Linked DNA regions of Callithrix jacchus. The protein of the gene in region 6 interacts with the protein of the main gene of each other region in a pairwise test. Links are inferred from orthologs where the notes say so. Each region holds a gene or a part of one and is shown on either strand. Other genes may lie near its edges.

Region 1 (4,296 bases), on a different chromosome or scaffold from region 6:
TCTGCCCTTGTTCTTCAAGTCAAGAAATCTTGGTTTGTTTGAACTAAATATCTGTGAATTGAGACCAGATATTTGCTTCTAGTCTACTGGAAAATCAGAATTCAGGGAAATGGAGATTTTTTACTTACTTCCGCCTTCACCTATAGGATGGAAGGGTTCCCTAAAGGCAGGATCCAAGGGAGAGTGGGCTTGCAACCGTCAGAGTCCCAGATCTGAATCATGGCTTTGCCACTGTCCAGCTGGTCTGTTTCCTCATCTCCTGTATGTGAGGTGACATTTGCCAAACAAGGTTGTTTTGAGATTAGGAAAGAAGGGTACGTTCAAGAATCTATTCTTTCAAAAATGCCTGGCAGGTGTGAGATGTTCAGTATTAGCAGAACCCGAGATGATTAATACTACTAGCTACTTTCAGGGCATAGGCAGTGCCCAACTTTAAGTTCATGTAACAAGACCTGAACGGACTCGGTGCTTTCTTCCAGAGAAAAAGAAGCCAGTAGAATCCCAACAAGCCTTTAGAATGGAAATCTTCCGCAGACAACAGGCACTCAAGCAACAAAATCTGGCTGGCTTCCCTTACTTCCTCACTTCCAGGGGCGGGAGGGAATACAAACCGTGCCCCTTGCCCTAGTCTCAGTTCTCCACAGGGCTGGCTTCTCTGGAATGAGTCCTCCCTCTGGGCGGGCAAAGAGCAAGATCTTGTGCTCCTGCTCCTCGGAACACTCCCGCGCTCCCCAGCTCCTTCTAGATGCAGCGACGGCAGCTCTGCCTCCTCGCCAGGCGCCGCATTCCCCAGGCAGCGGGGAGTAGGGGGTGTCCCCGGGTTCCTGGGCGTGGAACGCAGTGGCCTCAGAAACTGTCCGTACTCTACCACTCCACTGGCACCAGCCAGCACCTCCCTCTCCCTTCCCCCTGGCAGAGCACGTGCGAGGGGTGCGTGCACCCCAGGCAGTCCCCCAAAGCGCGCCTCCTGGAAAGGCGCCATCCATCACCTCCCATTCCGGCGGATTCTCGCCAGAGCCCAGCCAGGGAACGCTCCTCCGGCCAGCCCCAAAGATACTTGCGGTGTGTATGTGCGTGCGTGTGGGGGGGGGGTACTTTCTGGGACCCACTTTCATAGCCCTCTCTACCCCCATTTCTCACAGGGGTGTGGGGGGAAGAGAACTAGGAAGCCAAGACCACTGAATCCGGAGTACTTCCAAATCCGTTACACTTCCAATCGTCCTCATAGCATCACCTTAGTTTATCGGCATTTCTCCCTAGCATCGAAGCTCTGCCAAAACCCCGCAAGTGACACCCCACAAAAACCCCGCGCCCCTGCTGCCTGCCCAACTCTCGCCCCACAGCGCAGCCTCCAGGCCTGGCACCTTCCGTCCGGGGTAAGACTCCTTGCTTTCCCGGAGCGGAACCCAGTCAACAGGTTTCGGAAGTTTCCCACCTCCTCACTCCAACTCCCCTCCGGGAGCCCCCAAGCGGACCTCGCTTAAGGCAAAGAAGCCTAGAGGTCTCCCCTAAATCTGCGCTCACACAGGGTCCCGCCCCCTCTTCCCTCCCCTCTTTTTTCCTCCCTTGCAGCTCCAGTCCCCGCGCCTCCGGCTTCTCCAGCGCCAGCGGTTCTCTCGCCCAAGAAGAGGAAACTTCTTTCTGGGCTAAATTCAGGTCTGAGCAGGAAAGGCTTTCCCTCCCCGTCGGCATCAGAGGCGCGCTCACCCCCTATCCCCCAAAAGACCTCATTTCCCCCTCTCCCCACGATCACCCTCTGAGACTTTGCCTCGGATTTTTAGTGTTACTCGACTTTTTGTGTCAAAAGGTCCAGCCGTCTCTGAAACCACCACGGAGGCACTATGGATTTTTCTCAAGACTCTACCAGTCCCGCGTGGCTTGCAAAAGACAAGTAAACAAAACACGGACCCGGCAACTTTGGGGTGTGTGTGTGTGTGTGTCCGCGCGCCCGCGCGCGGGAGACAGAGCATCGCCCAAGAGTTAGGGCAACAGCTGCTAGAACACATCTGGAAGAGGGGGAGGGAGTTCCACGCAGAGGGGACAAGAAGCCCCCAGTGGCTTCAGGGCCTAGGGCTGGGCCAGCCTGTAGTCCATTACCTGTCCTATGTTGATGAATCCGTACTTGCTGGCGATGCGGTCGGCCTCCGGGAAGCCCCCGGCGATTTTGACCGCCCAGTGGTTGGTGTAGACGCGCGTCCTGCACACGGGGAGCAGGCAGCCCCCGAGCAGCGCCAGCACGCACAGCAGGTCCAGGCGTCCTGGGCAGCAGCAGCGGCTCCCCCAGCCCATAGTCCCGGCGCCTCGCTGCTCCCTAGCTCGCTGGCTGGCTGGCTCAGCGCACTAAGGGCGCGCACAACTAACTTCTCCGGCCTGGGCCGCCCGGCGCACAGCCCGTGGCCGCCGCAGCTCGCAGCCCCGGGCGACCGGTAGGAGGCGGTAAGCCCCGGCAGGGAGCAGAGCAGCGAGCCTCGCGCCGGCTCCTAGACCATCCCTGGGGCCGCGAGGACCTGTGCTCCCAGCTCAGGCCCGTGGAGCGCTCGGCGATGCTCCCCGGCTCGGGCGCAGGAGGCGGCTGAGTGGGGCGGGCGTCCTCCGCAGTTGGGCTTCGCCGGGCTCGGCTCCCGGACTCTCCGACTCGCTCTCGTTTCTCCGGGGGCCCCCGAGCGCGGCGGAGACAGCCAGTGAGAGCGGTGCAGGCAGCGACCGGGCGCCCCCTCTGCTGGCCCAGGCTCCGAGCGCTCGCTTACTTGCTCCCTGCGCTCCCTCCGGCTCCGAGCAGCGCGCGAGGATTCTGAGTGGCAATGGCAGCAGCTCCTGCTCTGCATAAATGACTTCCCCCGCCCCCCTTAACACCCCTCCTTTCCCACATCCCCCTCCTCCTCTCCCTCCTCCGCCCTCCTGAAAGCGGCCGCAACCGGGGCGCCCACCAGGTCCTAGCGCCTCCGGGTTCTCCCAGCTGCAAGTCTTTCCACAGCGCTGCGAACAGAGCTCCGAGGCCGTGGTTTTACCCTCCTTTTTACCTCCCTGCTGGATTTGTCTAAATGTACCGCCACTTCCCGAAAGACTAAAGACATTTACACGCCGGTGTGAGTTAAGCACCCTGAAGATTCATTCATCCTCGCTCTAAATGTCCTTAAACAACTAGGCATTTAAGGAGGTCCCTTGCGTTTCAATTGCCGAACAAATAACCCGAGATTTTCACTTCGTTAATTCTTCATGCTTTTCAGCAACTGTTTATTTTACACATTCTGCTCCTGGGAGAAGTTACCACACAACACAGGACGGTAAGTCGCATCGACTCCTAGGAAAGCCAACAACCGTGGCTCGAAAGCCAAGTCCGTTGCCTGCTCACTTTCGAAATCAGCGCATCCGATACTAGGCAACGCCAAGGGAGAGTAAAATTCCGGCCTTGGAAGTGAGGAAACATGTTTCTATGAATATCTGGTATACTAGTGGATGGAGATGTTGGGCCAAAGGAATAACTCCATTCATTTGTTGGATTACGTCTGACGAGGGCGTCTTTTCCTCCACCAAGGGAAAAGTTTTCCAACTTTTCCAAGCACAGTCCTGTAACAGTGAAAGACTTTAATATAAAAAAGACCACAGGAGAAGTTCAGATGAAATATGTGGCCGCGTCACCTTCATTACTGCAGCAGGCAGGAGGGAGCCCAAATTAACCCTCCTCTTGCTTCTCCTTTACAACCTCCCTGCCTTCTTGGAGCGGGGGTGGGACACAGAGTGATTTATTGTGACAAGAAAAATTACCTCTTACGAAGTAATTCAACTGACCTTAAAAGTGTTCGCTATATCCCTAACTGTCCTTTCTCTCCTACTACCATGCACTATTTCTTTCTTCCTAAATGTGTTTGAGATTAATTAACTCCTTCCACCTATAGCTTTTGGTACTGATTTTTTTTTTTTTTAATCTGAAACATACCTGCAGACTTAAAATTCCACTAGTACCTCTGGTCATAGCATTTGACATTTTACACATTGTATAAGGTATGCTATATTATTTCATCTTGAAAACAAACCCACGAAATAAAATTATCCCCACATTATAGATAAGAAATAGAAGATCAGAAGAACTAAAACATGTGCAGAAGGGTATGTTATTTTATTCGTTTATTTATTTGACTGATTCAACACATCTGTTTGGAGCACCTAGCATGTGTTATGAATTGTGCTGAGCACTGGAGAAAGGGGAAGGGGGGACACAAAAAATTAGTGGAATTCAGAATCTGTGACTACTCTAGAGTAAATGTGGTTTATTACTGTATTTAATACACTCTCAGC
Region 2 (4,010 bases), on a different chromosome or scaffold from region 6:
AATGTCCTCTGATAATTATGATAGAATTTCATTTTAAATATTGGAAAAAGTCTACAAGAGAGCTTCAGATAAAAAAAACTGATGATGTGGCCAGGCGCAGTGGCTCATGCCTGTAATCCCAGCACTTTGGGAGGCCAAGGCGGGTGAATCACGAGGTCAAGAGATCGAGACCATCCTGGTCAACATGGTGAAACCCCATCTCTACTAAAAATACAAAAAATTAGCTGGGCATGGTGGCACAAGCCTGTAATCCCAGCTACTCAGGAGGCTGAGGCAGGAGAACTGCTTGAACCCAGGAAGCAGAGGTTGCGGTGAGCAGAGATTGCGCCATTGCACTTCAGCCTGGGTAACGAGCAAAACTCCGTCTCAAATAAAAATAAAAATAAAAAATAAAAAATAAAAAAACCTGATGATGTATGGAATGTCTCAAGAATAATACACACAAATACCTGGTAACCATGGTTACCCTGGGTAAAAAAGAAGGAAGCGGAATAGGGGTACAAAGAAAACATCTTTCCACTGTATTAAATTTCTTAAAAATCATGTGTGCCTAAAGTCATAAACTGTGAGCCACTGGTACAATCAAATAGTTTTACTACAAAGTGGCTAGCCATCTATATATATAATAACTAATACTGGAAGGTATCACTATCAAGAGAAACTTTCAAGACAACAAATCTCCTGACAAAATGAACACAAAGATTAATAAAAATAGGCCGGACAGAGTGGCTCACACCTATAATCTCAGCACTCTGGGGGGCCGAGACGGGGGATCATGAGGTCAAGAGATCAAGACCATCCTGGCCAACATGGTGAAGTGCCATCTCTACTGAAAATACAAAAATTAGCTGGGCACCTGTAGTCCCAGCTACTCAGGAGGTTGAGGCAGGAGAATTGCTTGAATATGGGAGGCAAAGGTTGTAGTGAGCCAAGATCGTGCCACTGCACTCCAGCCTGAGCAACAAAGCCAGACTACTACGTCCCCCCAAAAAATAAAAGATTAATAAAAATTCAGGCAGAGAAGAGCCATAAGCAAAAAGTAAAAAGGAGTACAATAATGTGCTATGAACTTCAAAAAGAGGTTAAAACACACATACACAGAAAATGGGAAAGACTCGAAGAGTACAGAGTAATAGTTTAGAGTCAGAATTCCTGGATTCGAATCCAGGCTTCACCATTACTTATTAGCTCAGTAAACTAGAGCACACTGCTTTACCCCTCTGACCCTAATCTATAAAACGGAGATTATAGAATTTACTTCGAGGAATTTAAGCAACAAATTTTAACCTGCAAAATCATATATTAGCTTAATCTGCACAATTCTATAAGTAGGTATTATATCAACCCCATTTTATATTCAAAAGTTCTGGCTTAGAAAGAGGTTGAGTTGAAGGGCATCCAACTACTAAATGACAGGGCCAAAATTCGAATTTAGATGTAATTCTTAAGAGTATGTCCTCCCTCTTTTGTGGTACTTCAAGATCCTACAATCTCCATCTGGTAGAAAAGTCCTCTTTAAAACATCTATAGAGCTCACACAACAGCTTGTCTATCCAACATATCCATAAAAATGGAATGGTTAATAATGAAGACAGACTACGAGGAATGCCCTGTAAAGAGATGATAAAAGAAACAGAAGTCATCAAAGTGGCTCAAGCCTGTAATTCCCACACTTTGGGAGGCTGAGGTGAGAGGATATGGCTTGAGGCAAAGAGTTCCAGATCAGCCTGAGGCAATACAGCAAGACCCTGACTCTAAAAGGTTAAAAAAGAATGGTTTTGGTTTTTTTTAGCAGAATGTTGTGGCCCATGGCTGTAGTCCTAGCTAGAGGATCGCTTGAGCCTAGGAGTTCGAGGCAGCAGTGAACTATGATCACTGTACTCCAGCCTGGACGACAGAGTGAGACAACCTCAGAAAAAGAAACTGTCCATAACTTCAAAATCGATAAAAGAATATAATCACACCAAAACAGTCTAATACACATACAAAATAACGGCAATTGTAACATTTTAACATCTAGTATAACTGCTGTTACTAAATGTTATAAGTTGAAGGGACTCTAGAATGTACACAAGGGAACTGTATTACAGTAGTCCAACCCTAAAAGAGAAGTTTAGACAAGGGAGGAGTTCAGGAACAACTTTCTCCAAGGGCATCTAAATAAAATCCTGGGAATACTAAAGTGTGCGAGATGAAGGAGACGATTACGAAGTCAGTCGAAGTCCAAGTTGGGAGCGCTAGAGCAGGGCAAGGCAGCAATGTGCTAGCTCAGAAGTTGACTGTAGTGGAAGGTAGAGGGAGACCTGGAAGAGAAGGAGGATCTGAGCATTAAAATCAGCTGGCGGGAACAGGACCAGATGTAGAAGAGCTGAAGCAAGCAGCAGTGAACAAAAGGAATGGGAAGAGAAACAGGCCCCAAGGCAGGTGGCATTTTACAAGCCCAAATCTTGACGCTTTCCCCCGGCCTCTTCGGCCGTCGGTAGGGGCCGGGTTGCGAGCAAAAGGCGCAGAACCCTAAGCAGTTGGGGGCGGGGACGCGGAGCGCGGCCGACCGGGAGCCGAGCTGAGAGTCCCACGCTTCCGGTCCCAAGCAGGCCTTCTGGAACCCTGGCTACAGCCCGAAAGTTCCAGGCGGGCACTGTCACCACAGTCAAGGCGTTCTATTCCAGATCTTCCCGCCTCCTCCCCTTGGTAAACTTTTCCCGGGAACTTACCCGCCATTTCCGATATACGAGCACCCGCGGCTGAGGAAGGACGAATCAACCCGCGCGCTCCCGGGCCGGAAGTGACCGCACAGTCTGACACATTTCCCCCGCCCACTCCCAGCGTGACGTTAGCCAATGAAAGGAGGCTTATCCAGGAGCCCGGCGGCGGAAGCGTTTGAAGAGGCGGGGCTAACGCCGAGAAGTCTGCGCGGGCCGTTGCCTAGCCACCGCGAATGCCGTCAGCCGCTTTGCCTGCCTGAAGTGGAGAAGGAGGCCGCAAATAGGAGCTTCGCTGTTGAGATGCTCTCAGGCACTAGGAAAGTTTCTCTCGGATTGATTTGAACAATACAGACACTTTACGCCTGTTTTCTATACCCGTCCCTGAGATGTTTTGGAGACTGGATGAAAATCTTTCCTCTTGGCCTGGACAGTGCATCCAAACACCTGAGCCCTATGGGCAATTTTACCCTAGGTAAGATTTTACCTAGGTAAAATGCAAGGGTTGAGTTTCAGTTGCGGGAGAAATTTTCACTTCTTATTTTCCTAATTTGTTTCTAGTATTGCTGTATACTTTAACATCTTTTTTCCTTTCTCCCTTGTTTTTAACAGTATGCAGTGTGATAGGTACTCTGCTTTCACTCTTCTGGTTACTAAGCAACCGTTTAGCGCACGGACAAAAGTCGTTACCTAATAAATACCTCAAGGGGCCTGATGTAGTCTTGCATGCCACATGTCCTAGTGGTTTGAATCACATCACAGGTGTTACCTGATTTTAGCCATAGGCTTTGTTAGTACTTAGTAGCTGTTGGAACACTTTCGCCCAGAGGATAAACCACTATTTAGGTATCCACAAATATTCCCACAATGTTGTCTATACACCAGAAGTCCTTATCCCAACAAATATTTGTTAACAGGTTTTATAGTGATGCATGCTAAAGCTAAAATGGACCCTTGGCGGCCCTGCATGGTGGCTCACACCTGTAATCCCAGCCTGTGGGAGGCGGAGGAGGGCGGATCACGAGGTTAGGAGTTGGGGACCAGCCTGGCCAACATGGTGAAACCCAGTCTCTACAAAAATTAGCCAGGCGTGGTGGTGCGCGCCTGTAATCTCAGCTGCTCGGGAGGATGAGGCAGGAGAATCACTTGAACCTGGGAGGTGGAGGTTGTAGTGAGCCAAGATCGTGCCATTGCACTCCAGCCTGGGAAATCGAGTGAGATTCTGTTTCAAAAAAAAAAAGAAAAATGGACTCTTGGGATGATGATGTGGAACTAACATGCCCTGTCATTTTAGAGATGAGGAAATCA
Region 3 (3,500 bases), on a different chromosome or scaffold from region 6:
TAATTAGAATGCATTTTGCTTTTTAAAAGCAGATGAGGCAAAATCCTAATTGTGACTTAAAAACCTTTCATACATTTTGAGTACAAAGATTCTGATAAACAATAAATAATTTTTGCTATTTTCTACACTGAAAAAGATTATTTCTTTTTCTTGTGGGAAATTCATATACAAATCTTAATATAACCAAAATACTGAGATGATACTTGAATTATGCTTTCTTTTCCATTTAGGACAAGAAATAAAAACTTAGGAGATTTCTCATATCTTAGTAACTCTCAGAGAAAGCAGAAACAAAACCCCACTTTTTTCTTTTACCATCTGGATCTTCAGCAGGCTGAATGCTCATGTACGGTTCTCCTTTCTCCATGCGAGACTGTCTCTGTCGACTTTCTTCCTCTAAAGCAGCTTCTGCACGACTTTTTGCATTTATGTAAGCAAGGTACGCGGGGGAATTATGATAGGCCTTCATAGATTCATTGTACTCTATCTGAAATTCAAATGTTTTTTGGTTTTATAATTAACATTTTGCAGGTTACAATGCAGACTTATGTTATCTTATTTGACTATCAAAAGTTATGACGTAAGCAGAGTGCTGGGATAATTATCTCTTTTTACAGACAAGAAATCGGAGGCCTTGAGAAGTTGACTTGACTTAGGTAGACAGAGCCTCAGTACAGCATCAGCCTTCTGACCAAATCTTATGTTTCCTTTATAAAGAGTAAGCCAATGTTTATGTACTTTACACATTATCTATCCCACTGTGATCCCCTACTCTACCTTTTCTGCTTCGTATTCGTTTAAATATTCTTGTTTTTCTTCATCAGTGAGATCTCGCCACATGCCACCAATAATCTTGCCAATCTCCCACAACTTTAGGTCAGGGTTGGAAGCCTTTACTTGGTCCCAGACCTTAAAAAGAAAACAGGTGAAATGTCAATACTGATGTCTAAATGTACAGACACTAAAAAATATGGAAACTTTTAAACATAAAAAGCAGAGAAAACAGGATCAAATTTCTATGTACTCATCAGCCTACTTCAACAATTATCAATGGCTGGCCAATCTCATGTCATCTTTGCCCTACTGGATTAAGATAGATCTCAGACATCATGCCATTCACTTATAAATACTTCAATTTGATAGACAAGAATATCTCTAATCACTACAGATGCTTAAGATGAATTACTTCAACAACATAGGCTGTGTCTCTGAAAGTTCATGTGAATTTAGAAGAAAATGCTTAATTTGCATAGCACAATACATCATATTTTTAAATACATATATAATAGTCAAGACCAAAAGGTTTAAAATTTCTGGATAGTGGTTAAAAGGCTCTGCCTTTTAATAAAGATATTGGCGATATTTTTTATTTTAAGAGGAATGTAGGTTCATCACCAAAAAAAAAAAATAGGGGAAATCTGAGGAAATATAAAGAAAATAAAAACTACTATAAGCTTACTGCTTAGAGAGAATCATTGTCTTCTGTGTTTTCCCCCTTCAAACTAACATGTGGTTGCTATTATGTTTATAAAAATAAGATTAATTCATATAGTCTTGTATTTCTCCTTCACTTAACATATTCCTCATGTCATTAAATATTCTACAAAAGACATGACTTTAATGGCTACAGAACATTCTGTCCTAAGGATTTTAAAAGTTTATTTAATCATGCTCCTCTTGTTGGATTTTGTTCTGGAATTTTGATATCAGAACTAATTGTTTTAAAAACTGTAGTTTTTTGGTCCTTTCCTCTGAATATGCACAGAAAAGCTGGCTAAGCCAATCTAAAATTGGATGTAAAGTGAAGAAGAGGCAAAGACAGTGTCCTCGCTCCTTTCCAGGTCCTAAGCGCCTACCTTTCTGCTGTACCTCATGTAGGGCATCAGCGGCTTATCTGGTGGCTTTGGGGGTTTTGGAATCGTAATACCAGAGGATGCCTACAAAAGAGTTAAATACATCAATTATTCAACTATAAGGAGTTCACCGGCAAACTGAAAAGAGAGTTCCTTAAAAAATTCTAATGCGCCTTTCTTCTACTCGTCCAAATATTTTCTCCACTGAAAATAGCTATTACTGCAAATTCAGAAATTTCAAAAGAAAATGACTTTAAGCACACAATTTTTAAATGTTTTGCTTAGCAGTTTACTGTCAATACTTTGACAACCTGGCTGTAAGAACAAATAAAATATTACATGATAACCCATACATTGAAAATATATGATTATATATCAACCGTCTCACATTCAGGACTTTACCTGGCACCCTCTGATTCTGCTCAATTACCGTTACACATACAGTCAACACTTGATTATCTGTAGCAGGATCTGAACCCTTAGCACTTACCATTCTCACACTGTCTATAGGAGCCTTAGTACCTATTAGCACTATGTTAGGAATGCACTCCCAACAATACCACCACAAAAACAACTTCCCAGGTTCAAAAACAAAAACAATTTGTGAAATAACAAACCACCTTACCTCCTTTGCCAGGCTAGAGATTTTATTTCTCTTAAGGTTCTGTCTGTTACCTAGTGGTTTTCTTATAAAGGGGAATGAGAAGTGTGAACTCAAGTCACACTTTTCTTTGTCCTTAGGCCTAATCAGTGTAAAAGCAAACAAGTTTATCAGGAACAGAGAAGTGGCAGATATGGGGCCTGATTATGTTATTTTTGAGGTCTTATATTGACAAGCTCCATTCCATTAAAAATCTTTGGTTTTATGGGAAAGACAAAAGAAAAGGAAAGATAGGATATGCAGGAAAACGGAGACAGGAGAAAAGGAGGGGGAGGTAAGACTGAAAAATATTTTTTAGTAAGGTAAAGCAAAAATAAGTGAGAGAAGAAATAGGAAGAAGGAAAGAGAAAGAGAAGTGATCAGTTTTTCCTCTGGTCTAAGGTCTAGGTGAGATTCCAGAGAGCTTCTTGTAGGTCACCCAGATAACAACCAACAACTATCTATTTCAACTTTTTAGTCTCCCCTTAATATGCATGACTGCATTTGATTAAAGACCCAGGATAAGAAAAAGCATTGCTATTTCAGACAATCTGCAAATTTTCAGGAGATCTCTGATACTGACTCTCCCTGGTAGGCGGGAAAAAAGCGATGGCTTTATACTAATTATCAAAAGACAGGATTGGCAAATCCTTGTAAGAAAACTAAAGTGACATTTTGTTCGCTTCCTCTTCTGTTGCTGCTGTGATAAAACCCCAGAGATACTCCTCCACTCTGGGCTGGGACCCCAATTATAACCTTATTTTGCATTTGAGGGATCTGGGATGGGCATGTTTGTGTCCCTTTCCACTATGATCAAGAAACGTTTCCTCTTCCTACAAGGGTCTCTCTCCTTCCCTGTAACTCTACTTCATATATGAAGTTATTAGAAAGCATTTTGGCTTGGGAGCAGTATTCCTCTCTTTCCATTCCTCCCATGCATTCTTACCACACCTCATGCTAGTGCCCAGGTAGACAGATCCTGTTTTCAGCCAGCAGTGGGCAACAGA
Region 4 (4,080 bases), on a different chromosome or scaffold from region 6:
GCCATGATCAAGCCACTGCACTCCAGCCTGGCCAACAGAGCAAGACCTTGTCTCAAAAGATAATAAATAAACAAACAAACAAACATCCATCTGCGGGTGGAGCTTTAACAGTTTTACCTATAGGGGTGTCCAATGGAGAAAAAAAACTGGAGTCGTTGAACACAATGCTATTTTGCCACTCAGAGAGCATCTGGCAGTCTCTGGAGACATATTTGGTAGTCACCATGGGGAGAGTGGGGAGCCATTGGCATCTAGTGGGTGGAGCCCAGGGATGCTGTTAAATGTTCCCCATAACAGGACAGTCCCCCACACAAAGAACTAGGCAGCCCAAAATGTCAAGCGTGCTGGGCTTAAGAAACCCTTGCCCGAGCGCCCCAGACTTAGTCTTGCTTTGGGGGCTCCGCAGGCTGCTTCATCTCCCCACTCTATTCCTCCCCCAGACCTCCAATTCCAGTGACGCTGTACAAAGCATCCCCTCCTCCAACGAGGCAGCCATCTCTGATGTCCCCAGGCTGGGCCAGAGCCCCACCACTCTAGGGCTACCAGATGCATCCTGTACAAGGTTCGAATTGTCCCGGCCCACCGCGTTCTCAACCATGGCAGATTCCCTGGATCCCTGAGACAGCCGGATTCTACCGGGTTACTAGAGACCAAGAATCTGTATTTTTCTCAAGCACCGCTCCCCGCACCACACACACACACACTGCCTGCCCCATCAAGGGCACACAGCAGGTGGCCCAGTGCTAGTGGAGCGCCTACTGCAAGCCAGGCGCTATTACGCGATCCACTCGGGAATCTTGGCACAGGCTCCACTCCATGGTGTAGAAACCAGGATCTTCCCCATTTCACAGAGCAGTAAACTGAGGCTCAAAGAAGTGACCGTAGCGGGACAGAGACTCAGGGCAGGAAAAGGGCCCAGGTCCTCAGAAGCTCCAGATTCCCGGGGGAGGAGGGAGGACAGAGGAGGGTGATGGACTGGGGGAGCGCGCGCTGGGTGGGGGGGCGCGGGGCTTCGCCGCGGCCTTCCGATGCAGCCCCGCCCCCACGAGGGACGTGAAGACGCGGACCCCGCGCAGCGTGGGGACATGTGACCGACTGCAGAGGCCGCGCCGCCTCCCCCGCCCGAGGTCTGCGCGCTCCGCCGCAGGGTGCAGACCCGGGGCTCCCGCCTGGGTTTGGGGCGCAAGAGCAAAGGCGGAGCCAGGGCGGAGCCAGCGCGCCCGGTCCCCCCCGAACCGAAAGCGAAACAGGGGCCGGGGAGGAAGGGCGGAGCCGGCCCCGAGGCACCGCCCCCTGCCCTGCGCGGCTGCTGGACCGACGGGCGCGCCCAGGTAGGGGGGCGGCTGAGCCGCGCAGTGCGGACCCTCGCGGGGACCTGCGCCGCCGCCACCATGTCTCAGGAAGGTGTGGAGGTAGGAGATGGCTACGGCTGGTCCGGGGGGGAGCCGCGACAGAGCCCGAGGAGCGGCCAGGAGGCGCGGAAGGGGCTTCGCAGTTCCTGGGGACCCCCATCCTAGAACCCCAGATCCTTACCCCTGCCTTGCGCTCGCCCCCCTTGAAAAGGAAAGTGACTCCCACGTTTCCCCAGAGCAAAATGAGGCCTCCCTGAGGAAAAGCGGGGGCTGCAGGGTCAAAGGTCAGAGGCCAGAGATAACCTGGCCGACCCCCCACCTTAGGCTGGGACGCTCGCCCCGGCCCGCGCCCTCCCCCAACGCCCTGTGGGGACTTTGGCTTTTTCCAGGAAATGCCGTAGAGGGATGGGGGGGGGGCGGCGGAGGCCAAAACCAAGGGTCAAGTTCAGGCCGGGAGAACGGTGCCTAGTAATGGGGGAGGGAAGATCGCGCGTCCCCTTCCCCCAGCGGAGCCCCCGTGTCCCCATCCCAGCTGGAGAAGAGCGTCCGGCGCCTCCGGGAGAAGTTTCATGGGAAGGTATCCTCCAAGAAGGCGGGGGCTCTGATGAGGAAATTCGGCAGCGACCACACGGGAGTGGGGCGCTCCATCGTGTACGGTGAGGCTGAGGGGGCCCGGGCCTGGTGCGGGGACCGCGCGTGGGATCGCCGAGGGGGCGTGGTGTAGGGAGAGGCGTTGAGATCACCTCCCCTGGAGATCCCAGCTTGGGGGAGGCTCTGCGTCGCGGTTCTGGGTGGCCTGGAACTCCCACAGACCCTTCAAAGGCCCTTCCCTTATGCGCACTCTCCCCGCAGGGGTAAAGCAAAAAGATGGCCAAGAACTGAGTAACGGCCTGGATGCCCAGGTAACCCTTCCCCTCTCAAAGGACTGGGTCACGGGAGGGAGAGCAAGAGGGGGCCCGACCCGTTCATGGGGACCCTCCTCTGAAACAGCAGGGACCAGGCATTGTCGTCTGCAACTCATGCCCAATCTTACTCACTTTTTCACCTCTCCATCGTTTGCGAGACCAGGGAGCCTGCAAACAGTAGGCGCTCATTATGTGCTGATTGTATTCAATGGGAGAGAGAGAGCCATGAAACTAGGCAATGAAAGGAGCCAGGATTATTGCCATGGTAGGGGAGCCCCAGAGGTCAGAGAAGGCTTCCTGGAGGAGGAGGTACCACGTCTTAAAGGATGGGGTGTAGTGAGCCCTAGGAGGGGAAGCCAGGGGTCTTGGGGTGGGGGAGGGAATGGTATGAGCAAAGACTGGAAGTGGGGAAGGGTTGTTAGTGGCAGTCCCTAAAAAGGCTGCGATGAGCAGGGGATTGGGGAGGAGAGAGAGGTGGGGAAATGGAACCCTTGTGTTGAGTGAGTGAGTGAGTGAGTGAATGAATGAATGAATGAATGGTTTTGAAGCACAGGTTCAACGCGGCTACTTTGCTTCTTGGAGAGCTTTGGTGATGGGAACGCTGTGGATTTCATCTGCCTGAAAGGCTCAGTGTAGGGCTGTAAAAGAGTATAATAAAATATGCATCATAGTCCACATTTACACATGTAAAAGTATGATAAAAATATAGCAGAGGGGCCGGGTGCAGTGGCTCATGCCTGTAATCCCAGCACTTTGGGAGGTAGAGGCAGGCAGATCACTTGACGTCAGGAGTTCGAGATTAGCCTGGCTAACATGGTGAAACCCCGTATCTGCTAAAAACACAAAAAATTAGCTGGGTGTGGTGGTGCATGCCTGCAATCACAGCTACTTGGGAGGCTGAGGCAGGAGAATCACTTGAATCCGAGAGGCGGAGGTTGCAGTGAGCCGAGATCGTGCCATTGCTCTCCAGCCTGGGCGACAAGAGCAAAAAACTCCATCTCAAAAATAAAATAATAATAACAATAACAGAGGGTAGCATTGATTGAGTACTTCCCACATGGCGAGACTCCAGGAATTGATTTATTTCATCACCACAGTGACCCAGGAGACAGGTCCTATTATTTATCATCCCCATTTCATAGACAAAGAAACTGAGGCTTAAGTCACTTGCCAGGTTCTCGAGGCAAGCAGGTGGCAGCTGAGATTTGAACCCTGGCCACCTGGAGTCAGAGCCTGAGCTCTGACATGCCTGTCAGTCAGTGGGAACCCAGGGGGCAGGGAGTGGCTTGCCCAAGTCCCCACAACTGGAAGTGATAGAGTTAGGATTCAAACCTGAATCTCAACCCAGATTCCCACCACTTATCTCTGGCACAGTGTGGCGTCAAAGGGGTGATGCATCACAACACCAACAAGCATGTAGCATTTGCAGGCAGGAAGTGAGTATGGGAGTCAGGCTGGCTTCACTCAGGCAAGTCCTCCACTAAGCCTCAGTTTCTCCAGTGCAGCAATAATGTCACAGGTGTGCCCACTTCTCAGGGCTGTTATGAGGACAACTGAGACCACACACCTGGCTCTCAGTAAGTGGGCAGTGCTCTGTGAGTTCCTGGCGAGTTAGGGGCACCCCATTTTCCTTGTAGCCAGGCCTCTACCCCAGCAAACAGATGGAAAGAGGCCTGAGCCCCATCCCCCATTTCTGCCCCTGCTATCTCCACCCAGGACCCACCAGAAGATATGAAACAGGACCGGGACATTGAGGTGAGTTGGTGGCTGTGGCTAGGGATGGGGAAGTGGGGAGGAGGACATCTGCAGGCACAGAAGCATGT
Region 5 (4,068 bases), on a different chromosome or scaffold from region 6:
AGCACTTCTTCAGGGCCTCCTGCACGGCAACCAGAGGCTGGTCTTGAGTCATCTTCTGTTGAAAAAGATAAAAACATAAAGAAAATAACCATGTAGGGATGCCAAGTCAGTCGGGGAGGCACTGGGTCGAGGGTGGGCGGTCATCTCCATGCTCGTGTTTGGACAGGAGTTGTCTCACCTCCAGAAGTGGCTTCTTTTTTTTAGATGGAGTCTCACTCCATCTCCCAGGCTGGAGTGCAGTGGCACGATCTCGGCTCACTGCAACCTCCACCTTCCAAGTTCAAGCGATTCTCCTGCCTCAGCCTTCAGAGTAGCTGGGATTACAGGTGCCTGCCGGCCGGGCACAGTAGCTCACGCCTGTAATCCCAGCACTTTGGGAGGCCGAGGCGGGTGGATCACGAGGTCAACCGATCAAGACCATCCTGGTCAAAATGGTGAAACCCTGTCTCTACTAAAGATACAAAAAAAAAAAAAAAAAAAAAATTAGCTGGGCATGGTGGTACGTGCCTGTAATCCTAGCTACTTGGGAGGCTGAGGCAGGAGAATTGCCTGAACCCAGGAGGCGGAGGTTGCAGTGAGCCGAGATCGCGCCATTGCACTCCAGCCTGGGTAACGAGCGAAACTCCATCTCAAAATAAATAAATAAACAAACAAACAAACAAATAAATAAATACAGGTGCCTGCCACCATGCCCAGCTAATTTTTGTATTTTTAGTAGAGACGAGATTTCGCCATGGTGGCCAGACTGGTCTTGAACTCCTGAACCGCCCGCCTCGGCCTCCCAAAGTGCTGGGATTACAGGATTGAGCCACCGCGTCAGGCCCTGCCTCAGCTTTGTGAAGGAGATCCTGGCTTTCCCTCGGGAAGGGTTACCTGGATAGGGCACTCTCCTACTTCAGAGGATTCCCAGCATCCAAGCGCCGTCTATTCTCTAACCCAGAGGCCAGTCTCCCCTGCCCGAGGCTGCCGGTTGCCTTCCTGAAACCAGCAGAGACAGCCAAAGTGTGAGAACACTCCAGACCTGCACACGCACCCGTAGTCTGTCTGCATGTGCTCAAACACGAACATCTCCCAAAGCTCCTCTAGCCTGCAGGGCTACTGCGTCGCGAAAATATATCGTGTTGCCACAATGACTTCTGGGTACTGTAGTCCCACATGTGGATTGGCCACTTGGCTTGAAGTTTCCTTGGGATGTTGCAGCCGTCCCAACACGGCAACTTCTCATTTGTCAGCCTGCAGCAGTTTAAATTAGTGGCGGTGTTACCACATCCTATTAGCTAAGAGTCACTTCCTCTAAGCTTGCGCCTCCGGCTATGTCTTAATGACACATTTCACAATGTTTGTGGCACAGCCAACTGGCAAAAACTAGTGAATCAGGGGCTCCTGACGTGGCAGCTCTAGCTAAGATGCAGGGTGATGTCCTAGGTGCCCAGGGAAGTCGGGCGCATTGGGGAGTGGAGTGAGAGAAGCGCTGAAACCAAGAGGCTGGAAGCCAGACTTGCCCAGCATAAAAACACCTGCTGGGGGGAGCCTGCATGAGGTACCGGTTGTCATCCCCTCTCATCTTGGCCATCTGCCTGATGAAGATTCTCAGGCACCCAGCAGACTGGAGTGTCACCCCCATCACCCACTGCCCAGGGCTGACCTCGGGCGGAAGAGTGACATTCAAATACTTGTTGCATATGGAGCAACAGGACAGGCTGGAAGGGAGAGAAAGGACTCTCCCTGGCAAGAGGAAGGGCCAGGCTTGCCAGGGCTCCTATGTTCCACCTGCTGTGTCTCCAAGCTCGCTGGTGCCTATCAGGAGCCTGCTTGGCACCTTTGCTTATTTCCTCGATTGTTCCTGAACTCAGAGGGGGAGAGGGAAGATTATCACCCCTACAGTCTATAAAATGCACACTTAAACACAAACACAACCCCTCTGACATGGCTTCAGACCGCATCCACAGGTGAAAAGCACCAAATCCAATCATACCACAAACCCATCAAGAGCTCACCAGTCTGGCTGTCCGGCTGCCACCCGCCTTGAGACTCAGCCTGAGCTATCGCTCTGATCCCTGGAGACTTCAAGACTAGCCTCTAGCCTTGCTGGGCCTCAGCACAACCCCCGATCAATCCAACCCTGTGGCTGTGGACAGATGCCAAGATACACAGTTAGCACCTCCGACTGTACCGCGGCTCGGCCGGGCTCGCCGTCTACACGTCCATTCCCAGGCCCACGGCCTCGACACCCAGGGCTGCCTCCTGCCTTGGGCTCCCTGGAGTCTAGCGGCCGCGGCTCCTACTGCAGTCACCGGACAGCCAGCTGCCAAGCGCCACTACTGCACCTGAAGTCGCGACCCCGCACTCCGCACCCAGTCGAGGCGCCGAGATGTTAACTGGGCAGGAGGGTCCAGCCCGCGGGCGACCGAGGAACGAGAGGGTTCCCCCCACTCGCTGCCCAGACTGGCCGGGCTGGCGCGCCCACCCCAAAGCCTGCACCCCCCGCCCCCTTCCAAACACTGCTGAGTGGGGCTGCTGTGTCTCCGCCGACCCTCCACTTGCCCGAAGTTCCCTCCACTTTTCCGAAGTTCGGCCTGGGGTGCTTGGGGCCCTGAGGAGCGCAGAGGTAGACAGACAGCCAGTCAGTAGTCAGTCAATCAGTGGGTCACGGCGGCCCTCGGCTACTCAGCTGCAACCAGGCCAGAAAGAAGCAGCCTCCTAAAGTGCTGGGATTCCCGGCTTCCAAGCGGGCCCCCGTCGTCCTGGTCGGCCCTCAGCCCTCCAGAGCTTACAGTGTCGAGGTGCCGTCGCAAGGCCTGCCGGGAATAGTAGTTAATATCGTTTGCAGCTGGCCAGGGCGGAGCCGGGTGGGCGTGGAGAGGGCGGGGAAACTATCTTGAACCACAACTCCCAGGAGCACTCGCGACGGCGGTGGCCGCGCTGACGTACTCAGGCTGTAGAGGGCGCATTGGGCTGGAGACCCCGGGCCGGCAAGAACTTGCTTGTGATTGGATGTTGTGGGACGGCGGCTTCTCATTCGTCAGCCTGTGGCCGTGGAGTTTGAATTGGGTGGCGGTTGGCGGTAGAGCCGCTTTCTCACAGGCACCGGGAGGTTTTGATCAGCCCTTGTCTCGGGACTGCAGGTACGTGCCTGGCGACTTCTTCGGGTGGCATTTGTCCGCCTTTCTCGTGCCTACCCGGTTCCTTGCCTCCCTGCCCCATCTCTGCCGCTACCCGCAGCCTCCGCCGAGCGCCATGGCTCCTAGGAAGGGCAGCAGTCGGGTGGCCAAAACCAACTCCTTACGGAAGCGGAAGCTCGCCTCCTTTCTGAAAGACTTCGACCGTGAAGGTAAGGAAGGGGCCGGGCAGTCGCGGCTTCCTGGGGCAGTCGCGGGATGCTGGCGGGTGGGGACACGAGCAGCACCTATTCACCCGCCCCGTGACCCGTGTCCCGTCGGCTCTGCCCTCCCGCAGTGGAAATACGAATCAAGCAGATTGAGTCAGACAGGCAGAACCTCCTCAAGGAGGTGGATAACCTGTACAACATCGAGATCCTGCGACTCCCCAAGGCGCTGCGCGAGATGAACTGGCTCGACTACTTCGGTAAGAGCTGCAGCCCCTTGGGGTTAGGTGACACCCTTCAGAAAGGGCTCGCTCGGATGTCACCTTTTAATGAGATCTGACATGAGCACTTATGGAAAATGGCAGACCTACTGTTCCCCTTCACTCTCTGTCTCACTTCCCTACTTCATTTTTCTCCATGCTTTTCTCTAAAGGTCTAGCTAGCAAATATTTTAGTCCACTGGTGCGGGGGTCGATGGGGGTCTCTGTCAGACTACTCAACTCTGTGATATGTGATACAGTTCCAAAACAGCTGTAGTGAATGGGCATGGATGGGCTGTATTGCAATAAAATTTTAGTTACGGATACACTGAAATGTGAATTTCACATAATTTTTCCACATCAGGAAATAGTATTTTTTTTAATTTATTTTTTAGACAGAGCCTCAGTCTATCATCCAGGCTGGAGTGCAGTGCAGTGGCGCGATCTTGGCTCACTGCAACTTCCACCTCCCAGGTTCAAGTA
Region 6 (4,300 bases):
TTAATTTATTCATAATTTATTCAGCTGACACAAACACTTATATTTGTTTGTTTTTCCATTACCCTCATTATCAGCTTCAACATGTAGAAATGAACTTAATTTTGTTAAATGGCTATTTCCCACACAGTTGGGGGAAGAGACAAATGTTATTAAATTATTCCTTTTTAAAAAAAAAAGTTTTATTAAAATAAATTAAGGAAATCAGTTATTGAATTCCATTTTCTTGGTTTCCCCCAAACAAAATAACATGTGCTTGCATGAAAATTGTTTGCCCTAAGAAACTTAAGGGCAGTGGCTCAGTTCCGGAAGCATAAGGCTATCATGTAGGTTTCTCATTGCAGAAAAATAAAATGAACAGTAAGGGCTTATGGGAATTGCAAGAGTACTCTCATCAGCCTGAACTGGGATCTCTTTCAAAAGTTACACTGATATCGAATGTTCAGTTTATAAAATTGTCACTGCATTCTAAAATCGACGGTTTTTCTAATAAAAATTGAAACCTTCTTACAACGATTAACCTTCCACTATCTAAAGGGAGTTTCACTTATAGTTAGGAAAATACAGTAAATATCAGTGACACCACTGCTAACTTTCTTATAAAAACTAATTTGTGATTGAACATTAAAAGTTCATCCCCTATCCTTGGAAAATAAAAGTTATTTTATTCTTCTGACAGAAGAATCTATCCCATACTAACGCTGAAGAACGATTGATATTGCTGCGAAGGGGAGAGGAATATTAAACATGCGGTCAATCATTTTCATTTATGTGACATCTCACCTAAAGCTTTAAAAAGCATAAACATTCCAATCCTTCAAACCAATATATGGGATTACCTTCTAGGACTATTATTAACCCAGTTCCGCAGAGGAAGAAAAATATACAAATATTATATTAAACAAATAATACCTTCCAAAAAGATGGAAGCCAGGGTGCACCATAGCCACGAAAGAAAACTCACAAGTCTCTCAATTTTAAAGTATCTTTTAACAATTTTATGATAATAGAAGTAGGTCAGAGCTTTGAAAAGTTGTCTGGAAAACTTTGAGTTTCTCTGGATTGCTACAATTTACTCTGCAAGTTGTGCCTTCAAGCACCAGAGGTCAGGAAGATTCCCCTTTTGCGTGGCTGCTCAAATTATCCTCACTGAAATCAGCGCTTCCTGCGCACCCTTGCATACGACCTTCAGGCACGTAGCTAACTGACACTACCCAAGTTGCTGTTCGCTACCCAGTATTTGCCGCAGCTAAAACCAACTTGGTAGAGGGATTTATTTTCCACTCTTGAAATTTAGATTCTGTAATTAACTTACACAACATGAACATGTACTATATTAAGGTTCGTCTTTCTTCCAGCGTGAGCATGTATTTATTTACAATTCTCTGACACATTCCTTAAAATCTGAATTCCTAGATAATATCTTCTTCCCTAAGAAGGGGAAATTTTTACCATTTGAAATAGGGTGCTATTTAAAGAACTCTCAAACAAGAATGTTTAAAAAAAAAAAACTAAAACTTTTTTTTTTTTCTCATGTGCTCTGCCAAGTTCCATTGCAAGTTCCAAATATTGTGCAATAATTTGGAAATCCAGTTTACGATGGGAAAAGTCAAGCCACTCAGAGTCGGGAACTTGCAAGAGAAAAGTCAAGAAGCAGCACCCGCACGCACGCACGCCTGCCCAACGGACGCGGCATCCCTGGGCACACGCCCCTCCCTCCCCCGCGCTGGGATGGAAGGTCACGCTTCGCAATCGATTTCACAGCCACTTGTCCTTTTTTATCAACCTTCTGGTAAACTAGTTTAGGACCTTGGAGAGCTTAGAGCTGCTAGCTGTGTTGCTCTCGGATAAACACGTGCCCCCAAATAACAGGACCAAAGCTTCACCGCCGAATTTAACACATTCCCCTCTTCCCCGCCGCCACCCTCCAGGGCCAGACTCTTCCCTGGCATCTCCCCGCCCCCTTTCCAGGCCGGCGCGCACTCTCGAGGGTGCCTGGCGCTCTCTTACCTGAGCTGTCGCTTTTCCTCTTGCCACCGCTTCGTTTCTCCGCCTCCGCAGGTGACAGTGCCTGGCGACCGTAGTCCCCTGGCGCGCACGAGGCCCCGGTCGGGGTGCTGGAGCCCAAGCTGGAAGAGTTGGAACACAGGACAGGCGGGCTGCTCCCCAACTCTGGGGGTCCTCCGGAGTCGGGCTGGAGGCAGAGGCTGTGCCGAGCCGCAGTCGGTGGGGAGGACATCTGCGGGAGGTGCCAATTGGTTTGCAGAGCCTGGTGCTGCTGCTGCTGATGGTGGTGATGGTGGTGATGATGGTGGTGGTGGTGCCCCCTGTGATGCTGGCTGGCAAACATGCCCTCTTCGTTGGGGTATCCCGCGATTATGCAAGATGAGGAAGAAGTAGAGAGCTCGGGGTAAGACATATGGTCAGATCTTCCATGCAGGGCTAGAGAGGATTGGGAGAACGGGTGCAAGCCTTGTGCCGTGGCGTGAGGGCTGCGCAGGCAGCCAAAGAGCGGGTGTTCCATAGCATGCAAGTTTCGGGTTCCAGGCAGAAGACTTCACGGCGGTTCTAAAGGCCACCACCCTCTGTCACTTTTCACTGGAAACCGTGTGATGTTTTTTACCCCTCTCAAAGCAATAGCCGTGCACTTCTGCAGAGCTCGGATAATCCCGGTCCTGAGCCCTAACGGCCAGTCTCCTTTACATATGAACAGTCGGACCTGGAAGAGCTTCCCTGAGCTACTCAGATGTCAAGAGTGGGAGAGGTTGAAGCCAAAAGAAGGTGGTCCCAGTGAACTGCCTTCAGGGGGAAATGGCTCTGAGAGGTTATAAATAGACTGTAACGTGAGCTGGGGGCTGGCTTAGGAGCCCAGAGTTGACCACATGCAAACTCCCTCCAAAACTCCCGCTCAGTCTGCGCCACGCGCTCCCAGTTCCACTTCCTATCGCCGGCTGGACAGACGCAGAGCGTCCACGCCCGCCTAGCCCTGCCAGCTACCAGGACTACAAGCGGCGCGCCAGCGTCTAAATCCCGCCCGGGAGGGCAGCGGCTCTGCCCTCCAGACTCTGGAGGCCAGGGCGCGGCGCGCACCAGCGCCAACCCAGCACCCTGTTTCCCACCTACTAATTTTTCTCTTGGGAAAACGTAACTTGTCAGTGTCATTTGGGAACTGTCACCTGCAGAAAAGCTAGGGATACGCCTAGCCTTTGAGGAACACGAAAGAAGTGATAGGGTTAAAGGAAAAGATCAGAGCTAGCCTGGCGCACTCTGGAAGTTTTTCAAACTTCGCATCTTCCCGTGCCCAGGGCGCCGCCGCGCGCCTAGGTTTTCGCAGTTAGTTTCTGTGGGTGGTGGTTAAGAGGCTGGGACGCCAGGTCTGAGGTTTCGGGGACGTGCACCATGGCCTGGAAAGTGTGGTTCACAGTGCGGAAAGACCTGAGAGGAAGACCTAAGGAAGACCTGGTGGGGTGGGTGGGAGGTAAGCGCGAATTGCAGATGCCTGCTCTCTGGCATCCTCACGTGCGATGCCCGGTGGAGTCTCCCTCCCCCCCGCTTTCCTGGTCTCGCTCAATTTCCTAGCCACTCGTCCACCAAGAAGAAATTTTCCTGGGTCAAGAATTATTTCCAAGCGATTTTGTCCCAGTCACATGAGATGTGTAGATTTGCATGCACATTTCTAGCCTCTCCCCTCCGGAGCTAGCCCAGGTCTCTTCAGTTCCCTCTAGAAATCCACTCTTCTGCTCAAAAATAAATCCACTAATCGTGTCTCTTAACACCACTGCTCCATTTACTGAGAAATCTTAAATTTCGATAGCTCTAAGAATTCACTAAGCTTGGGCGCTTGATTACATCTTTGCATCCCTGAAAATAAACTCGATAACTTGCCTCCAGTAAGCATGGGAGAGCGAGGGCAGGGCTTTGATACTGCCACTTGCTTGGTGAGCGACAAGATCCGCTGGGGCACAGTCGTTTATACACAAGTGAATGGGCTTTAATGAGCAGGAGGAACAGTCACGTCGGATCTGGGACGTGTCGGATCAGGAGAATATCTGTAGTCACCTATTCCACCCGGAGCCCCGACTGCACCACCAGCAGTGTCGCCCTGTTATTTTCATTGTCTCAGGTGTCCAGAGGATGGTGACCAGGTCTTTGAAGTTGTTAATGGGATTAATGGGTACAGCAAACTGGGCTAGACATCTGGTTTGAATTAGGAAAAAGTATTGATTAATCTTTGAGAGGTGTCCCCAAAGCAGAACCTTTCCTCTCCTCTTCCAGTCCCCCTGTTTAAGCCTATCTTTTCTTT
Region 7 (4,053 bases), on a different chromosome or scaffold from region 6:
GGAAGGGTGATACCCTTCTCTGGGACAAGATTTCCCTGGGTTGGTCACTTGGACTTCCAGGTAAACTTGAGAGCCATTCTCTGGGGTGGGAGCCCCGGAGCATCCAGGGAAGCCTGTCCAGGTGGCAGAATTCAGCACCCATGCCGGGCTCTCACCTCCCCTCTGCTCTGACAGTGTTGCCCTTCAGATAGTGCCCAACCCCTGGCAGGCCTCCATCCCCTTCCCACCTCCCCGTTTCCTCCCTTCCTTGCCTCATGGGAGGCAGGCACCACTGGCATTTGCTCATGGTTGAAAACAAACTAGAACACTGCACAAATAGAAGCATATTTTTTTAATAATTATTACGGTAAAACATCTTGAATAAATATGGAGTATGAACTTAAATAAATAAATATTTAAAAAATATAAATATATAAATAAATATTACTAATTTCTGCCAGTATAAAATAGTCCCGTTCCTCTGCCATTCCTGTATCAGGGTCAGTGTGGCCTAGGGCAGGTCCGGGCCACCCCCACAATGGCTGGTCCCTTGGTCCCTCCAAGATGACCATTCTGAGTTTCTAGTTCTTGTTTCATGAGAAAGCAGCTCCCCAGGCTGGCCAGCCTCATCTGGCCGGCCTCACTCCTGGACTGGATCCCAGCAGTCAACAGGGATGGCAAGCAGAAAGTCCTTCAGGTTCTCTTTGAAACTTTCAAAGGTGATAATCTTGGTTGCACAGGAAGTTTCCTTTAAAAAAAGGAAAATAAAAAACACTTGAGTCCAGGCAAGTGGGTAACGTGGGGGAAACACCAGCATGCTTCTGTGCTGCCTCTCAGAACTCAGAGGCCAGGAGGCCCACTCCAAGACCTACCACTGACCTGAGTCAGGTGACGCTGCTGCCACCCACGTGTTCCCCAAGGAGTGCACAGCTCTGTAAGTGGCACCTGGAGCCAAGGGCCTGACTTAAGTGCCAGCCTGAGGTTGGTCTTCTGGGCAGTCAAACGCCTGCCTTTTTGATCTCAGGACAGGGCAGGACAGGGCAGCTGGGCTGAGGCCGTCTCCAGGAACCCAGAAGGAGCGGAGGCAAGGCCACAGACTTTGCTCCCTTCCCGCAGGAAGGAGTGCCTGAGGCCCTTGTCCATTCTAGCTTGCCTCCCTCCCTTGATTCTGTACAATTCAGGCACCTATATGAGGCCAGGGGAAAGTCCTGCCAGCAGGTGGCACTTGGGCCAGGGCACTTCCTCTGGCCCTTGGGCAGGCCCCGAATTTCCTTGGGTTTGCCTAACCTCTGACCTCATTAACCATAATAACAATAATGACCAGAATAGAAGCAGCTCCTGCTGGGGAGCACTGTGGGCTTTAGTGCTTCATGGCTCTGACTCCTTAGGATGAAATGGGCCATCTGCCTCCTCTCTGGAGGGCTAATCGTTACATAGCTGTTGGCACGGAAACCCCTTGAGGTCCTGAACAGCCACAGCCAGAGGTCTCTCCTCATGTGGACCCCACCCCCCTAGACTAAGACCTTCCTGCTGGGGGCTCTGCCATATGCACTCACCAGGGTTGGGGGGCAGTGCTGCTTGTAGTGGCTGGCTATCATGGTCAAGAGTCCCTTGAGCTTGGTGAGGCTACCCCACAGGCTTTCCTTGTACAGCTCCAGGCGGGTCTGTAGGCAGGTCGGCTCCTGTGGGAAATGTCGTTCCTCGGTGAGCAATGGCCAAGGGCCTGCAGTGGCACAGGAACTCTCCGCCACTCCTTTCTGCTGCCATCCCCAGCTCCCAGGAGTAGGGTTTGGGAGGGGCACAGCCTGGGTCCAGTCATACACCCTGCCCTGTCCACAGTAGGCATGAACTTGCCCTCCTCACTACCCAGCCCAGGCCACCCTCAACGGCACCTGGAGAGGATCCCAGCCTTAGGGAAAGAGGTCACTCTCACCCTATCATTCAGGGAGTGGGCAGGGCCTTGCCTGAACCTGCTGGGTAGGCAAGGGTTGTTTCTGAAACCCCTCTGTGCCTCTCTGTAGTCAGCACTGTCTCAATAGGACTTGGCCTCAGGGCACGGTGAGCACCCCAAACCCACAGCTCCTATCTCATGAAGTGACCCTCACTTTACCACCTGTACCCTGGCTCCTGGCCCTTGAATGCTAGGTCTGCTCATGCCACTCAGCTGATAAAGGAGTTTATGTGACTGCCACAGCGGCATGGCCAGCAGCCTCTTGAGCACCAAGGCAGCTCTTGCTGCCCCCTCCTCCTGGCAGACAGTTGATTGGAGAGAAAGTGGACAACCCTGTGAGGTGCCATCTAAAATAGAGTCCCCACCTCTACCCCAGGGCAGGGGCTCTGGAAAGCTATGTCAGAGAGAAGCATCTTACCTGGCGGTCAAACATTTCTGAGACCACTTCTACTGTTTCATTCTGTAGAAAAGGAAAATGTCATGTTATCAAGCTGACAGGCATGGCCAGCCCAGGGCCAGCAGGGTGGCCTAGGCACAGGGCCATGCTCTCTCTCTCACTTACTGTCTCAGGAGCAGTGTCTCTACTCAGGTTCAGGAGACGCTGGGCCTCCTGGATGGCATTCACATGCTTCGAGGGCTGTGTGTCGGGGCTGGGCAAGTGGGTAGGTGCAGAGATGCTGCCGGCCACAGTGCCCAAGAGCAGCAGGTTCTGCAGCCACATCCTCCTGAGAACTTTAGCCTTTCTCTCTGTGTACTGGGCTCACTGGCAAAAGAGCTCTTAAATACACAGAGGAAATGATTAATGGTGACCACAAAACGCCAGGGAGGCGGGGGAACTACCTGAACTGTGGAATCTCCTGGCCCTTATCAGCCACACATGGGAACGGTGAGCCTTTTCCTCAGGTGGTCAGACTCGGGGGTTTTCATTAATGAACCTTTCCAAGAACCGACAGCCCACCCACCCACCTCCCTGAGGGCTCTCCAGCCTTCCCTGGGCAGTCTGAATGGGTCTGAGGCTGCCCCCTCCTTCTGAGGGGCACAGCTTGGACTTCCTGGCCTGGAATGGCTGGGGTAGGGTGTAGGAGATACTTAGATAGAGATCTTTATCCTGCCTATAATCCCAGGGGCCTTTCAGCAGGCCGTGCCCACCCTGGTGCCTCATTCTGACTCTAGCCTTCCTCTTCTCTGGCCACTATGAAAGACTTGCGTGTGAGGGGAGCTCTCACAGACCTTCCCCCTTGATGGTTCACACAGACTCCCACCCAGGACTCGGAGCAGCTGGAAAACTCAGTCCAGTAAGGGGGACCCCTGCCCCTGTGAGCAGAGGGAATCACCACCATGTGCACATCCAGCCACAAGACTGCAGCCACTCTCAGCAAGCTTTAGAGGGGGTGGGGCTGGGCCAAGTCAGGATCCAGAGTCTGACTCTTGGCTCTGGAGCCACCTTGCTGAGTGACTCCTCTCTCTGGTTATGTGAGCCTTGACTCCCTCTGCAGAGCAGGTTACCCCTCTGAGGTGGGCTCTACATACCTACATGTAGCCCCCAGAAGGCACCAGGAGTTTCAGGCTGGCTTCAGGACTGTGGCTGTACCCGTTGCAGGTACAGGGACAATGGCTTTCTCAGCAAGGTCTTCCAGGCTTAATCTCCTTCATAGCCCCAGCAGCCCCCAACTCCAGAGGCCTTTCTGTGGAAGTAGGAACTGCTTCTGAAAAGCTCAAGGGGCTGACAAGTGTTTGATTTTCACAATGGAGTTCAGAGAAGACAGCACGAGTTTGTGTTTGCACAAGGTATCTGGCTCAAGCTGACCCATGCCTGGGGTTTCATAGCTAAAGGGGTGTGGGCCCACATGTGTCCATTTCTGGGTGTATGTGTGCTGCTGTGATTGGTTGCATCTGTACATACAAGTGTGTCGTGGAGGAGAGAATGTTTTTCGTGCAGATGCATCTTACCTGAGAGTCCTCTTACCTGCTTTGTGTGAGTCCTCTTACCTGCTTTGTGAAAGGCTCCAGGCCTCTGAAGGTGCCCCCTAATACTGGAGAAGCTCCTCACCCAGGGTGCAGTGCCTCTGGGCTCCAGAGGCTGACTCAGCCGAAACCAATGGGGTCGGACACAAGCGAGAACA

Evidence for each region.
Region 1: the proteins of MEOX2 (region 6) and PCSK5 interact in binary tests that used the Homo sapiens proteins (3 or more experiments, as listed by UniProt). The two-hybrid records come from large-scale screens. The link is inferred for Callithrix jacchus from reciprocal best matches to the Homo sapiens genes MEOX2 and PCSK5.
Region 2: the proteins of MEOX2 (region 6) and HAT1 interact in binary tests that used the Homo sapiens proteins (3 or more experiments, as listed by UniProt). The two-hybrid records come from large-scale screens. The link is inferred for Callithrix jacchus from reciprocal best matches to the Homo sapiens genes MEOX2 and HAT1.
Region 3: the proteins of MEOX2 (region 6) and SMARCE1 interact in binary tests that used the Homo sapiens proteins (3 or more experiments, as listed by UniProt). The two-hybrid records come from large-scale screens. The link is inferred for Callithrix jacchus from reciprocal best matches to the Homo sapiens genes MEOX2 and SMARCE1.
Region 4: the proteins of MEOX2 (region 6) and SHFL interact in binary tests that used the Homo sapiens proteins (3 or more experiments, as listed by UniProt). The two-hybrid records come from large-scale screens. The link is inferred for Callithrix jacchus from reciprocal best matches to the Homo sapiens genes MEOX2 and SHFL.
Region 5: the proteins of MEOX2 (region 6) and AIRIM interact in binary tests that used the Homo sapiens proteins (3 or more experiments, as listed by UniProt). The two-hybrid records come from large-scale screens. The link is inferred for Callithrix jacchus from reciprocal best matches to the Homo sapiens genes MEOX2 and AIRIM.
Region 7: the proteins of MEOX2 (region 6) and CSF2 interact in binary tests that used the Homo sapiens proteins (3 or more experiments, as listed by UniProt). The two-hybrid records come from large-scale screens. The link is inferred for Callithrix jacchus from reciprocal best matches to the Homo sapiens genes MEOX2 and CSF2.

What each region holds. Positions count from the first base shown.
Region 1 is NC_133502.1:85,654,769-85,659,064, reverse strand, and holds the start of PCSK5 (proprotein convertase subtilisin/kexin type 5), read right to left. Parts: upstream 2,801-4,296; 5' UTR 2,290-2,800; coding exon 2,098-2,289; intron 1,779-2,097; exon of another isoform or gene 1,651-1,778; coding exon of another isoform or gene 1,573-1,650; intron 1,377-1,572; coding exon of another isoform or gene 1,261-1,376; intron 1,063-1,260; coding exon of another isoform or gene 592-1,062; intron 1-591. Other genes in the region: uncharacterized protein LOC144578083, read left to right, coding at 592-1,062, 1,261-1,376, 1,573-1,650. UniProt on the Homo sapiens protein: Serine endoprotease that processes various proproteins by cleavage at paired basic amino acids, recognizing the RXXX[KR]R consensus motif. Likely functions in the constitutive and regulated secretory pathways.
Region 2 is NC_133507.1:57,607,835-57,611,844, forward strand, and holds the start of HAT1 (histone acetyltransferase type B catalytic subunit), read right to left. Parts: upstream 2,801-4,010; 5' UTR 2,722-2,800; coding exon 2,715-2,721; intron 2,304-2,714; exon of another isoform or gene 2,209-2,303; intron 1-2,208. UniProt on the Homo sapiens protein: Histone acetyltransferase that plays a role in different biological processes including cell cycle progression, glucose metabolism, histone production or DNA damage repair. Coordinates histone production and acetylation via H4 promoter binding.
Region 3 is NC_133506.1:92,631,896-92,635,395, reverse strand, and holds part of SMARCE1 (SWI/SNF-related matrix-associated actin-dependent regulator of chromatin subfamily E member 1), read right to left. Parts: intron 1,938-3,500; coding exon 1,857-1,937; intron 910-1,856; coding exon 778-909; intron 488-777; coding exon 316-487; intron 1-315. UniProt on the Homo sapiens protein: Involved in transcriptional activation and repression of select genes by chromatin remodeling (alteration of DNA-nucleosome topology).
Region 4 is NC_133523.1:9,278,832-9,282,911, forward strand, and holds the start of SHFL (shiftless antiviral inhibitor of ribosomal frameshifting protein), read left to right. Parts: upstream 1-1,280; 5' UTR 1,281-1,391; coding exon 1,392-1,412; intron 1,413-1,884; coding exon 1,885-2,008; intron 2,009-2,204; coding exon 2,205-2,254; intron 2,255-3,973; coding exon 3,974-4,012; intron 4,013-4,080.
Region 5 is NC_133508.1:74,246,375-74,250,442, forward strand, and holds the start of AIRIM (AFG2-interacting ribosome maturation factor), read right to left. Parts: upstream 2,801-4,068; 5' UTR 2,545-2,800; intron 2,129-2,544; exon of another isoform or gene 1,998-2,128; intron 1,085-1,997; exon of another isoform or gene 979-1,084; 5' UTR 874-978; exon of another isoform or gene 757-873; intron 452-756; 5' UTR 179-451; intron 61-178; exon of another isoform or gene 56-60; 5' UTR 53-55; coding exon 1-52. Other genes in the region: CDCA8 (borealin), read left to right, coding at 3,238-3,331, 3,457-3,585. UniProt on the Homo sapiens protein: Part of the 55LCC heterohexameric ATPase complex which is chromatin-associated and promotes replisome proteostasis to maintain replication fork progression and genome stability.
Region 6 is NC_133512.1:42,792,488-42,796,787, reverse strand, and holds the start of MEOX2 (homeobox protein MOX-2), read right to left. Parts: upstream 2,801-4,300; 5' UTR 2,522-2,800; coding exon 2,008-2,521; exon of another isoform or gene 1,967-2,007; intron 1-1,966. UniProt on the Homo sapiens protein: Mesodermal transcription factor that plays a key role in somitogenesis and somitogenesis and limb muscle differentiation. Required during limb development for normal appendicular muscle formation and for the normal regulation of myogenic genes.
Region 7 is NC_133503.1:76,378,993-76,383,045, forward strand, and holds CSF2 (granulocyte-macrophage colony-stimulating factor), read right to left. Parts: upstream 2,684-4,053; 5' UTR 2,652-2,683; coding exon 2,493-2,651; intron 2,391-2,492; coding exon 2,349-2,390; intron 1,662-2,348; coding exon 1,536-1,661; intron 728-1,535; coding exon 620-727; 3' UTR 501-619; downstream 1-500. UniProt on the Homo sapiens protein: Cytokine that stimulates the growth and differentiation of hematopoietic precursor cells from various lineages, including granulocytes, macrophages, eosinophils and erythrocytes.